Linked DNA regions of Saccharomyces cerevisiae S288C. The protein of the gene in region 2 binds, or shares a complex with, the protein of the main gene of each other region. Each region holds a gene or a part of one and is shown on either strand. Other genes may lie near its edges. The genes, in order: POP3, POP5, RPP1 and POP8.

Region 1 (2,700 bases), on a different chromosome or scaffold from region 2:
CGACAAAATCGGAATATCAGACTCGTCATGCATAAACTCTGGAATTTCTAGTTTCCCGTCCGCAAGTATGCCGTCATCATCCTCGTCGTCCTTATTAGTATCCAAATTTGTCACTTTGACGTTCATCGACAACTGTAAGTCAAAGTAGCAAATCGGCTTGCCCTTCCTTTGAGATACGTTGGAGTCACCGGTGATGCTACTCACCTGGGTTAACTCAATTTTGCTCTTCCCATCAGAGGAAACAGTGGACAAACTCGTTAATTTACCGTTCAAGTAGTCCTTAGACCAAGGTAAGGTGTTTTTATCCACCCAATGCCAGTTATTTGGATTCAAGACAACCATATTTTATCGTAAATGTGTTGTAACTTTCCGATCGTTTCAAACTTTAGTAGTAGTTTGATGATTTTGTCCAAAAAGTATTTGCTTAAATTTCAGCTTTTTTCTTCTTCATATGTATTTCTTTTTTTCCTCGCTTTCTCTGCCCACTTTTTTCTTCTGTCTTCTAGAAAAATAGGCCTGCGCGGGTAATTTTGTCTACTTTTGCCTCTTCTTCGAGACAATTGGCACTGTAGTTTTCAACAGCTTGACAGATGTGGGCCGATACTTGATAGCATTTAACCAGGGAAACTGAAGCAGATCAACGTTCTTCTGGATCTGCGATACGAATTTCTTGTCGACCCTATCGTCGCACCGCAGCAGCAGCATTCCATATTTAGAAACCGACTTGAAGGTATCCATGGCACTCTTGGGCAACTGCACCAGTTTAACCGTCATGGGCGCCATATAGCATAATAGCGGGATTTGCTGCAAGAGCACAAGCGGTACATCAGGGTCCTTATTGCACACAAATAGACATACTGGGTCGCTGTTTCCGTGAGCGCCGCTCAAATACTGCACAATTTCATTGAAATCTGTATACAGCTCCCAAGGGTAGTTCTCCTTCGATTGAATGTGAATCAACTTATTTATGATAGAGGATTGCAGCAGCTGCCAAATCAATGGCTGATCATGCACGCGCGGCCACATATGTGCTTCGTTTGTGAACGGATTGTCTAGCACGGGCTTATACACCTGCCTTCTTTTAGCTATTTTCTTGTCTAGAGATTTTAACGACCCGGACATGCTACTTACCGTCTTGATTTCCTCACCTTCCTTCTTGTTACAGTCCTCATCTCTATATCACTCATAATCTGAAAAATTTCACTTAAGCACGCAAATGCTATTTTTTACTTATTGCCCGCACGAGAAAATCAGAGAAAATTGAACTATGAGAACGGTATAGATCAGGGAATACATATCTGAGAACAACATCAAATATCCGCCCTGGCAATAGGATGTGCATAATTGCAGTTAAAGAGTGCATCGCATTTCCCCCGATTTTTGTTCTACTGAAAGTATGAACCCTGCTGTCGCGTTGGCCAGAACAGCCAGCTAGACCAATGCACCTTTATCACGTGACTATTACCGGGTAAAGTTACGGACATTTCGCGTTTTTTCCTGTTTTTTTTTTTTTTCGCGGTGCGGTGTTTTGTGGGAATGTGTTTGTTTACGGACTGTTTCGACATTAAGCAGAATGTTTCAACAGTGAGCCATTCTTGATTTGGTCATCTGGGCCCTATCTCCTTTTACTATGAATTTGCATATGTTTGTATGTTGTGATCTAGCACTTCTCCCAGAAGTGCATTTACAGCAGGTTTTTTGTTTCGTTTTATAACACTCTGTTTCGGTCTTTCTTTTTAAGATTGTCAGGGAAAAGAGTTCCAGCGACTGCTTTATACCTGTCCTCCGTCCTTCGAAGAAATAAAGAGGAGAAACCCTCAACGTAAAACATATAAGCAGTTTTCAAATCATCCACTCGCTTTTTCAATTCTTTACTATTGCTCAGCACGACCAACTATAGCTCAAAGCGTGGCTAGCCTTTGATTTACCATTATTGCTCTTTTTTTACTTTCATTTCTACCTTCGTTTTTCGCCAAAAGAAAACAAATCTAGTGAAAACAAACATTGCTGTTCGGTTATAGGACACGCTTTTTTGTATTTTTACAGACTTTCTGGTTTCTAATTGTTTCTTCTTTGAATTTCTTTTTGACCAACAGCATTATAGAAGTGGAATATGCACCTAGATCTCATACACAAGTCCTTCATCTTAGTGTGGCTCATATATATACGAGCCGCGTTGGCTGACCAATTCACATATAAAGCTTGCTATTCAGCTAGTGATATACGAAAATTGGGGTTGACTTACAAGGGTGTTTACGAGTATCAATCAGTTTCCTACTGTCAAAATGAATGCCCTGGTCAGGCTGTCGTTGCTCTTTTCAACGGTACAGGTTGCTACTGTGGTGGTTCCGTAGCTCAGTTACAGTCTTTGACGCAGGTAGATTCGAGCAAATGTGATGTTTCGTGTGCTGGCTGGCCCTACCAAAATTGTGGTGGTTCTTCTGCCATGAACGTTTATATCAATAACGCTGCTTCTACCGCGGACTCAACTTCATCTACTGCTACCTCAACATCGACAACATCTTCATCAAGCACAAGTGTTAGTTCAAAAACGTCCACGAAATTGGACACGAAAACTTCAACTAGTTCTTCTGCTACGCACTCATCCTCTTCCTCGTCTACAACCTCCACTACCACTTCCTCTTCAGAGACAACTACTTCCTCCTCTTCTTCATCCTCTTCCTCTTCTACGTCTACTAC
Region 2 (2,637 bases):
GTGGACTGGTAGTCATCGTTCTTCTTTGTGGTGAGTATACCTTGCGTTTCCGTGGTATCCATTCAGTGTCGGATTCAAACTTTCCTAGATTGTTATTGTAGAGAGCCTGTTTCCTCATATTATATCTTGCTTGTCTATTCAAATTCGGAGATGCTAACGGGGAAGGTAATCTAGAAGAAGAGGAAGGCAGAGGAGGAGGAGTCATATCATCATTGTATTTGGAATATTTATGTCTAGCATTATAGGCCAGATTGTTGTACCGGTTGATAATGTTCTTAGAATATGGTTGGGCCAAATTGCTGAAAATTTTGTATTGAGACAGAAACCCGTAGGTGGCGTAGCGGTACCTTTTTCTTGATAACCCATTGGGCCATACAGGCTTCACGAACAGCACATTCTCTACAGCGCCTTTAGGCGTAGATCCCACTAGCACTGAAGAGGCCATGCGGGGTGAGCCATTGTGGCTAATTTTCGACTCCAGCTTGGGCGACAAAGGTGGCGATGGTATTATATGTTCATCAACCAAGGAGTCAATGCTGCCAGAAAAGCATCCATTGCCATTATTTTGTGAGTTCTGGTTAATTCTTACGTCGTACGAGCGCCCATAGGGTGAATTATTGCTATAATCACTCATGTTTAAACCGTTTTTATTACTATCGTTATTGTTGTTACTTGCTTTCAAATTCTGATTCAGACGTCTGAAAATGGACTGCGAATCATCCTTACCAATGTAATTCATATTTAATTGAGACTTTTCAGATTCAGGAGAATATAATCCCATGTTTCCCCTATAAATGTTACGATGCGCGAATATCCTGTTTATCGATGCCCAGTGTATGAGCCATAACGGGGATGTTATGAACCATGTGGCTACTTTTATAAGCGGTTCTCTTAGGAAGAAGGGGGTTCTTGATAGACCCCTGCACCTCATCTAGCGGAGGTGCACGGATGTACCAACAGTTTTAGTGAACATTATTCACTAAAGAAGCATTGGGCATACTCAGAGCCAATGGCAAGCTCGTTTACCAGTTCAAATATGTCGTTTCATTATCTGTATGACTGTCGTAACTTTGAATCGATCTAATGTGTTGACCCTGTCTCAGGCTCACCCATGGCGGCGCCTGCACCTGTGGGTGAAGGAAGAAAGACGATGTTTGTGAGGGAACTGAATTGGGTTGAAGTTCATATCCTAAACAAACACTTCACCAGCCATGGATGCATGCCTTGTCTTTTCGCAGTTGGTGGCATGAAAATATATATCACCCACCAAACCCTCTTACTCTTTTCTTACCAAGTAACTCCAGTAAGTGCTCGTTTTTTTCTTCTTCCATTCAAACCTGCTTAAAAACCTCGACAAACGAGCCCCCAACGTACTACCACAGCAACCACTCTGGTTTTTCTATCTTGTTGTCTTTAATTGCCTCCTGACTTTGTTTTGTTTTGTTCTTGCTTAGCGCTCTTGAAAAATATTTTACTTTTCACTATCAGATTAATGTGATAGCAATAGTTAGTGCAACAAAGAAACAAGTCGATAAATGGTACGTTTAAAAAGTAGATATATCCTTTTTGAAATTATATTCCCACCTACAGACACCAACGTTGAGGAATCTGTGTCGAAAGCAGACATCTTGCTTTCGCATCACAGAGCATCGCCTGCGGATGTGTCCATAAAGTCGATACTCCAAGAGATACGACGCTCGCTGTCGTTGAATCTGGGCGACTATGGGTCTGCAAAATGTAACTCTCTCTTGCAGTTGAAATACTTTTCAAATAAGACGTCTACGGGGATAATCCGATGCCATCGAGAGGATTGCGACCTTGTTATCATGGCATTGATGTTGATGTCGAAAATTGGCGACGTCGATGGACTGATCGTGAACCCCGTCAAGGTAAGTGGGACCATCAAGAAAATAGAGCAGTTTGCTATGAGAAGGAATTCTAAAATTCTGAACATAATCAAGTGTAGTCAATCATCACACCTCAGCGATAATGACTTTATTATCAATGATTTCAAGAAAATTGGAAGGGAAAACGAAAACGAAAACGAGGACGATTAGAATATATTAATATATAGATGTACACGTATATGCAGTAGTTTTATTTTTTTATCTATAATACAACTCAAGCACAAGAATGCTTTGTTTTCCTAGTGCTCATCCTGGGCCTAGGCGCCATAGTTATCCGATTTATCATCGGATTCAGCTTTAGTAAACTGAATGGGGCCGTGAGAACCACTGGCACCTTCACTCTTAACATTGACCGCTTCGTCCAGCTTTTCGTAGTTGGTCTTGTATATGCTTTCAATATCTTGTTGGACGAACAGTGGGTTGTCATAAACCTGGTCTTCATGCCTTTTGGCGGAGGCATTTGCCCCTCTTGTGAAAAATCTTGAATCGTACTGCAGATCCGGTTGTTCTGAACGCTTTGCTGCGCCCAGAATTATCTTTTCGGATACGTCTCTTCCTTGAGAGTACGCCAGCTCTTTTAGTCTGGCCACTGTGCTCGTTTGCTTTTTGGGCTTAACTATTGCTCCCGTCTGCGGAGTCCCGTTGTGGTATCTGGCTCGTTGGCTCAATTCTTTCAATTTAGATTCTTTAGCAAGCATTTCCTGTTCCATAGCAAGCCGCTTCAATTCCA
Region 3 (3,247 bases), on a different chromosome or scaffold from region 2:
CTGTCAACGAGAACAATTCCTAAATCTTCGTCGGCGTCTTCATCGGAATCCGTACTAGGTCCATTCATGAATCGTTGCCTTACTTGGAATCCATACAATTTTTCCATTTCCTGATCCTCGTCAATCCAAATGGATTTCATTTGAGGAAGCTCCATCTGTTGCAGCCTCTTTCCTTCAGTCATCCTTTAGAATTTATCACACAATTAATAAGCGAGTATTCAGAGTGAATTATAAACAATAAACAATAGAAATAAGTCTTTCTTAAAAAAAAGTAGTGATAGTCCGTACGAAGATAATTAATTGCAGAATAGTTTTCAATGGTTTCAGCTCTCAGTAAATCCTACAGGTACAATGTAACAGAATATGCCTTGGATCCCCAAATTTTTTTGTCTATTCGTTGTTTTCCTTCTCTATGGAAATCGTCGAAAAATTTCTTTGTTTTTTTTTTCCTTTATTGTTGTTGTCTTTTCGCGAATTCGCGTCGCGATTCGTGGATTGTGATGATAATAGCGATGTCTACTACCCGGGTACGTATTTAATTATCATTTATACATTATATGTTATAGGTTAGCGTATCGTTTTAAGGCTTGTGTCTTTTGGAAGCATGGCCTAATTGTTCAGCATCCATACTCCTTTTCACTACCTTGATGGTCTGGACGTCGTCGATGCCTTGAACATCGTTGACCACGTCATCGCCGTTTCCGCTACCACCACCGGTAACAATGGTCTGTTTGTGGCTCTTATTCCTTAAGCGGCCATTTAGGAGGACGAGTGAAGCTAGGTCTCCCATGGCCTTCGAACACCTATCGCTCGGAAGACCTAAATTCTTGATTAGACTTGTTACTCCTAATATGTTGCGGCACTCAAGTGGTGACATGGCACCACTGCCGATAACAATGCCTCTGGACCTCGAACTCCTGATGACGCTTCTTACATTGGATACGAACTGCCTCCGAGCTTGTACGTCACGCAAAGCATAGCCATAAACAATTTCAAGTTTTACTCCTCTGTTCACACAGCTGCATATGCTTTTATGCTTAAGGAAAGTAGGCAGGCGCGACCCGTACTGAAAGGTCAACAAGTCAATATCCAGATTGGTAGTTGATAAAGTAAGGCCCTTTTCACTGATTGGCAATGCTGCTACAATATCAAAGGCCTGGCTTATCTTGGAAAGAGACTGTCCCTTCGATGGATCGTCGATAATTAGCGTGATCCTGCTGTATAATTTTAGCCCTGTTCGATCCATCAATTCTCCAAACCTTCTCTTGATATCGATAGGATTTAACAGCTTAACATCGTTGGGGAATTTCTCGCTGTGGTTTACTGTAAAATTTATGGCGATGTGTGTATATCCCAACATATGCAATGTGGATAACGTTTTTATTAAATTGTTGACCGCCTGAGAAGTAACTTTGTCTGCATAGCTGTTCTGTGGCCACGGTACATTCAAATCTACCAGCATTCTCGGTTCTATAATGCTTTCACTTTTGTTTTTTGTGTCTGTTTAGGTTAAGTATTTTCTACTGGTAAAATGAAATTTTTTCATTTATGCGAGGTAAAATTCTGGGCATCGCACATACATTTTTCATGTTTTCTGGTAGTAGTAACAAAAGAGAGGCACTTGACAAATTAATCTGCCTTCAGACTGTTAAGGTTCGCTCGAATAAAGCATTAAGAGTGTATATATATCAGTATTTATAAATGTATATGTTCTGGCTGATATCCGCGCATTTTCAGTCCTTTCTCCAGTCACCATTGATACTTCTCGACCTGTTCAATGCTAATCTCATAGTGGCCAATTCTCCGATAGTTTTATTAACCTTGCAGCAGTTTGGGTCTAGATTTAAGTTATCAGCCAATTTGACGACATAGCCATTGATATACTCAATTTCAATGTCTCTTAAGAACAAAGTGTCTTGTCTCATTGAACTACTGTTCCTAGAATTGATGTCACAGCCAATTCTAGTGACTTCGGAGACCATGTTATCGGTTGTCAGTACTGCATTGACATCCATTTCTGGGTATTCTTCATTACCGCTGTATTTTTCGTGGTATTGAAACAATGGCCTATAAGCAACTCTCAATATTTGTAAACACTCGTCAATAATAGATGTGAAAACTGGACCGCAACTGGCCTTCATCTCACCATTGACACAATCTAGAATAGCCGTAACTGGATTCATGCATGCATTAACCAAAAATTTAAATAATTGACCAAAGAGCATTTCTTGATAAGTGGAATGTTCTATTCCAAATTCCTTGGCAAATTTTGGTTCTGTTAATAATTTTACTAATGAGTTATTGGCTGCATCGTCCTCGACTACGGATTTTTTTTGAATCATTTCTTCCTCAGTCCAAGGCAATTTGGCAATTTTCATACCAGCCCACCCAGCATGATTGAAAACTCCTGCTTTATCCTGATAAACGCCATGAGAAATGACACCCTGAAATAAATGTGGTCTGTTTTTTGAATCTGTAAAGATTTCTTCTCTCAATAGTTCTAAAACGCCCAGTCCATTCTGAATCAAAATTAAGTTTGTATTTTTATTAATATAAGGCAAATAAGGAGCTAGTGCTTCTTTGGTTTGGTAAGTCTTTGTAGTGACGACTAAGTTGTCAATAGGTTTTTTAGAGAAAGTTTCAGGGCATTCGCATTTCTCCACTGGATAAGAAAATATTGGCGAGCCTTCCAAATAAAGTTTGCGAATCGAAATGTTGTTCCCATTTGTCTTCTGAAATTGTGCAAGTCTTTCTTGTGATCTAAATAAGGGCACAACTAGGGCATTGGTAAATCTTAAAAGGTCAACTGCCAAAACGGTACCCATGGCACCCAACCCAAGAATATGAATAGTACTTCTGTGTGGTGCAGTCATATTGTACAGACTTTATCGTATACGTATATTATCGATTTCTCCTATCGATCGTAACATACAAAGGTGAGTATAAAGTATCTTGTTTTTTTAATATATTTGTATTAAGCTGAATGGCACGATAAGCCTTTCTCGAGAAACCGTTAGCGGCCGCCAATCTATAAAAAAAAGAAATCGGAAACATGAAATATGAATTTGAATAGAACGTGACTCAACAGAAAGTCACAAACCTAACCATAATAACCTTGCTATAGCATTTTTTGACTTAATTTTATATGTTCTTTTTTCAAGGGCTGTATAGTTCCATCATGTATGTATTTTTCTATATACGTATACATACCGTTTTTCTTAGAGCGCTCTATAATTCACCCTTTACA
Region 4 (2,816 bases), on a different chromosome or scaffold from region 2:
GCAAGGTACAAATATAATTTAAGAAACCATAATGTTTTAGAGATGTTTGCCAAAAAGGATACGAATAAAGAATCTAATAAACAAAAATATTGTGTATCAAAAGTCATGAATACCAAAAAAAACAGCAACATCAAAAACAAATCGCTCGACTCATTTTTCCAGAAGGTAAATGGAGAAAAAGATGACAGGATTAAAGAATCCTCTGAAATTCCACAGCAAGCTAAAAAAAGAATCTCCACGCCAAAGTTGAATTTCAAGGATGTCTTTGGAAAGCCTCCCCTGTGCAGGCATGGGGAGGAATCCATGCTGAAAACATCGAAAACTTCGGCCAATCCAGGTAGAAAGTTCTGGATTTGCAAGAGATCTCGGGGTGATTCAAATAATACAGAATCATCTTGTGGGTTTTTTCAGTGGGTTTAAATATGAAAACGTCAGCTGATATTTTGGGAGAATAAAACACTTTCTTCTATGCCCAAGTTTTTTTAAATAATAAACTGATATTCTATATACATTTACAGTCTTGTTCTTCTTCTTCCATTACTTTTTTCAGCCATAGGCGGTCATCGTCAGTAACCTCCAGAAGTCTCAAACTGGAAGATTCTTGTAGAATTGACACTGTTAATGGTGAACCGACGAGTTCATCAGTAGATATGTATGTACTGATGGACGAAGAAAATGTATCTTTATCCGCATGATTTACTCTGATGTAAGCCAGCTTATCGTCAACATGCAGGAATGAATATTCTACACCTTCACCAAAAATACCATAACTACGTTTCAATGCGTTATTTAACCATTGCCTCCATGTCATTTGATCAATAGCATGTGCATCGTCCACATCTTGATCGAATGAAGTACTATAAATATTAAAGTACGTTAGTAGTTTATTTCTCTTCGGTAGTTGAGACTCAAAAAGTCAAAAATATACATACATTGATAACTTGAAATATTGCCATTCTCTAAAAGTCTTTTTCCCCATCACAACTGGCCATTTATCAAACTATTTATCTGCCTTTTCTTATTCTGATTATCCTATAAAGCTGAACAGTAAAGCTTGTAAAATTACGCGATGACTTATGTATTGAAGTTATGACGTTCTCGATGATCTTCAGTCAAACAACCACTTTCCCGTAACATATGATATATCCCACCCGCTTCCTTGTACGCATTATTACGGTTCTGCTTTGAAGATGGAGATTCAGTACTTGCAGTTATTTGAATTGCACCAGTACTGATCATGCCAAGTTTCTTTGGCTTGTGAAAGAACTTGATATTCTGTCTAAAGGATCTGCTCGTTTTTGTTTATGAAAAGTATATGGAATTATCTACTCTATGTAAAGTAATCTCTCTACTGGTTTTCGTTAGATGGCGCTGTAGAATCAGGCCTGTCGATGTTTTCCTCATTTCCTTCTGGTAATGTATCTGGAACATCGGTGGTCGTAGGTTGATCTGTATATGATGTATGCTCTTCTTCAAGTGTTGGAACATCATCTTCTTCGATTTCAAAATTACTACCCTGATCCATGAAACTGGATAAGTCATTGGCGTCTTCATCGTGGCCAGCAAGCAGGTCATCTGCTTCATCCAAAAATTGATCATGGATCAGGGATGAGTAGCTTGGACCTGTTCTGTTTCCAAACCTTCCTCTAATTTTGGAGATAGCATGCGCTATATTAGTTTTTGTGTGCTGTAAAAGAGACCCGATATTTGAGAAAACGTAAAATCCTGATTTCACAATGTTATTGACAACTCTGTCAGTATTATTGTTTTCTATTAAACCATCGTCACCTAGCCTAATTTCTCCAAACCTTGCAAATCCCCCATTTCTTCTGATACCTCTGTCATATACAAACCATGCGGCAAAGAAAATTATTAAAAGAATTGAAATGAAAATAAATGCAAAGGGACCGGCACTTACTGAGTACTTTTCCTTGAATTCTTTTTCTTTTCCTGGGCAAGCATGTGGTGATGAGGGAGCATCCAATTTCAGGCCACCCTCACAGGTTGATAGAGGGATCTTTCTGTAGCCTGACGATTCAAAATATTCGATTAAATCTGGCTCTTTTTTACAAACGTCTGCAGCATTTGCTGGGCTTAGTCCTTTGACTAATTTACAAGTACCATCGTTAGCTTTGTAAAAGTTGTAATCACACTCGAAATCTTGTCTTGTACAAGAACAGTTTTTGATATTTCTTGAAAATTCAGAAAGTGGAATATTCCCAATAAAACAATTTTCATCGGTTTTACGTAAAAACTCGGTTTGGTGACCAAATAGGCAATTGCTTTTGGAACCCAGAGGAGAGTATTTATAATCTGCGCTTTCCTTACCAGTGATGTCGAAATCACATTGTCTTTCGAAGATGTTTCTAAAATCAATTGTGTACGTTCTAAATGAGCTGCCTCCAATATCTGCTGCCTCTCCAAACAGCAAAAATCTCAAAGCAGAATCCCTGGGAACAGTGGTTATATCCTTTACTAAAACCTTATCAGCGCAGAATTTATAATCTTTCCATGTTTTACCAAAATCGGTAGAATAGGAAATAGAATCAGTTTCTGAGTTTTCAGGAACTAAAACTAAAATCCCACCGTGGTCACCGTATTCCCATTGGTGAGGAGTCTTCTTAACTTCAGCCCACGTTTCGCCACCATCGGTGGTGAAGAAGGTGGAACATTCTTTATATGGTAAAAGGTTAGGACCAACGTTGCCAACGCCGAACATCATTCCTAATGCAGAACCGGAAGAATATGTATCTCTAATATCCTTACGTTCAGTATAGCCATGTAAGTGCAATGAACACTCATCCAGTGATTTGGAG

Evidence for each region.
Region 1: POP5 (region 2) and POP3 share a complex: the UniProt entries of both Saccharomyces cerevisiae proteins name them as parts of the nuclear RNase P and RNase MRP complex.
Region 3: POP5 (region 2) and RPP1 share a complex: the UniProt entries of both Saccharomyces cerevisiae proteins name them as parts of the nuclear RNase P and RNase MRP complex.
Region 4: POP5 (region 2) and POP8 share a complex: the UniProt entries of both Saccharomyces cerevisiae proteins name them as parts of the nuclear RNase P and RNase MRP complex.

Annotation. Positions count from the first base shown.
Region 1 is NC_001146.8:106,109-108,808, reverse strand, and holds POP3 (Pop3p), read right to left. Parts: upstream 1,123-2,700; coding exon 535-1,122; downstream 1-534. Other genes in the region: HCH1 (Hch1p), read right to left, coding at 1-342; WSC2 (Wsc2p), read left to right, coding at 2,114-2,700. UniProt on the Saccharomyces cerevisiae protein: Required for processing of 5.8S rRNA (short form) at site A3 and for 5'- and 3'-processing of pre-tRNA.
Region 2 is NC_001133.9:81,171-83,807, forward strand, and holds POP5 (RNA-binding protein POP5), read left to right. Parts: upstream 1-1,535; coding exon 1,536-2,057; downstream 2,058-2,637. Other genes in the region: FUN19 (Fun19p), read right to left, coding at 1-781; mRNA splicing protein PRP45, read right to left, coding at 2,165-2,637. UniProt on the Saccharomyces cerevisiae protein: Component of ribonuclease P, a protein complex that generates mature tRNA molecules by cleaving their 5'-ends. Also a component of RNase MRP, which cleaves pre-rRNA sequences.
Region 3 is NC_001140.6:222,297-225,543, forward strand, and holds RPP1 (RNA-binding RNA processing protein RPP1), read right to left. Parts: upstream 1,463-3,247; coding exon 581-1,462; downstream 1-580. Other genes in the region: GIC1 (Gic1p), read right to left, coding at 1-182; 2-dehydropantoate 2-reductase PAN5, read right to left, coding at 1,734-2,873; ribosome-associated complex protein SSZ1, read right to left, coding at 3,229-3,247. UniProt on the Saccharomyces cerevisiae protein: Component of ribonuclease P, a protein complex that generates mature tRNA molecules by cleaving their 5'-ends. Also a component of RNase MRP, which cleaves pre-rRNA sequences.
Region 4 is NC_001134.8:185,496-188,311, forward strand, and holds POP8 (ribonuclease P), read right to left. Parts: upstream 980-2,816; coding exon 933-979; intron 858-932; coding exon 503-857; downstream 1-502. Other genes in the region: DNA-(apurinic or apyrimidinic site) lyase APN2, read left to right, coding at 1-420; PEP1 (type I sorting receptor), read right to left, coding at 1,349-2,816. UniProt on the Saccharomyces cerevisiae protein: Component of ribonuclease P, a protein complex that generates mature tRNA molecules by cleaving their 5'-ends. Also a component of RNase MRP, which cleaves pre-rRNA sequences.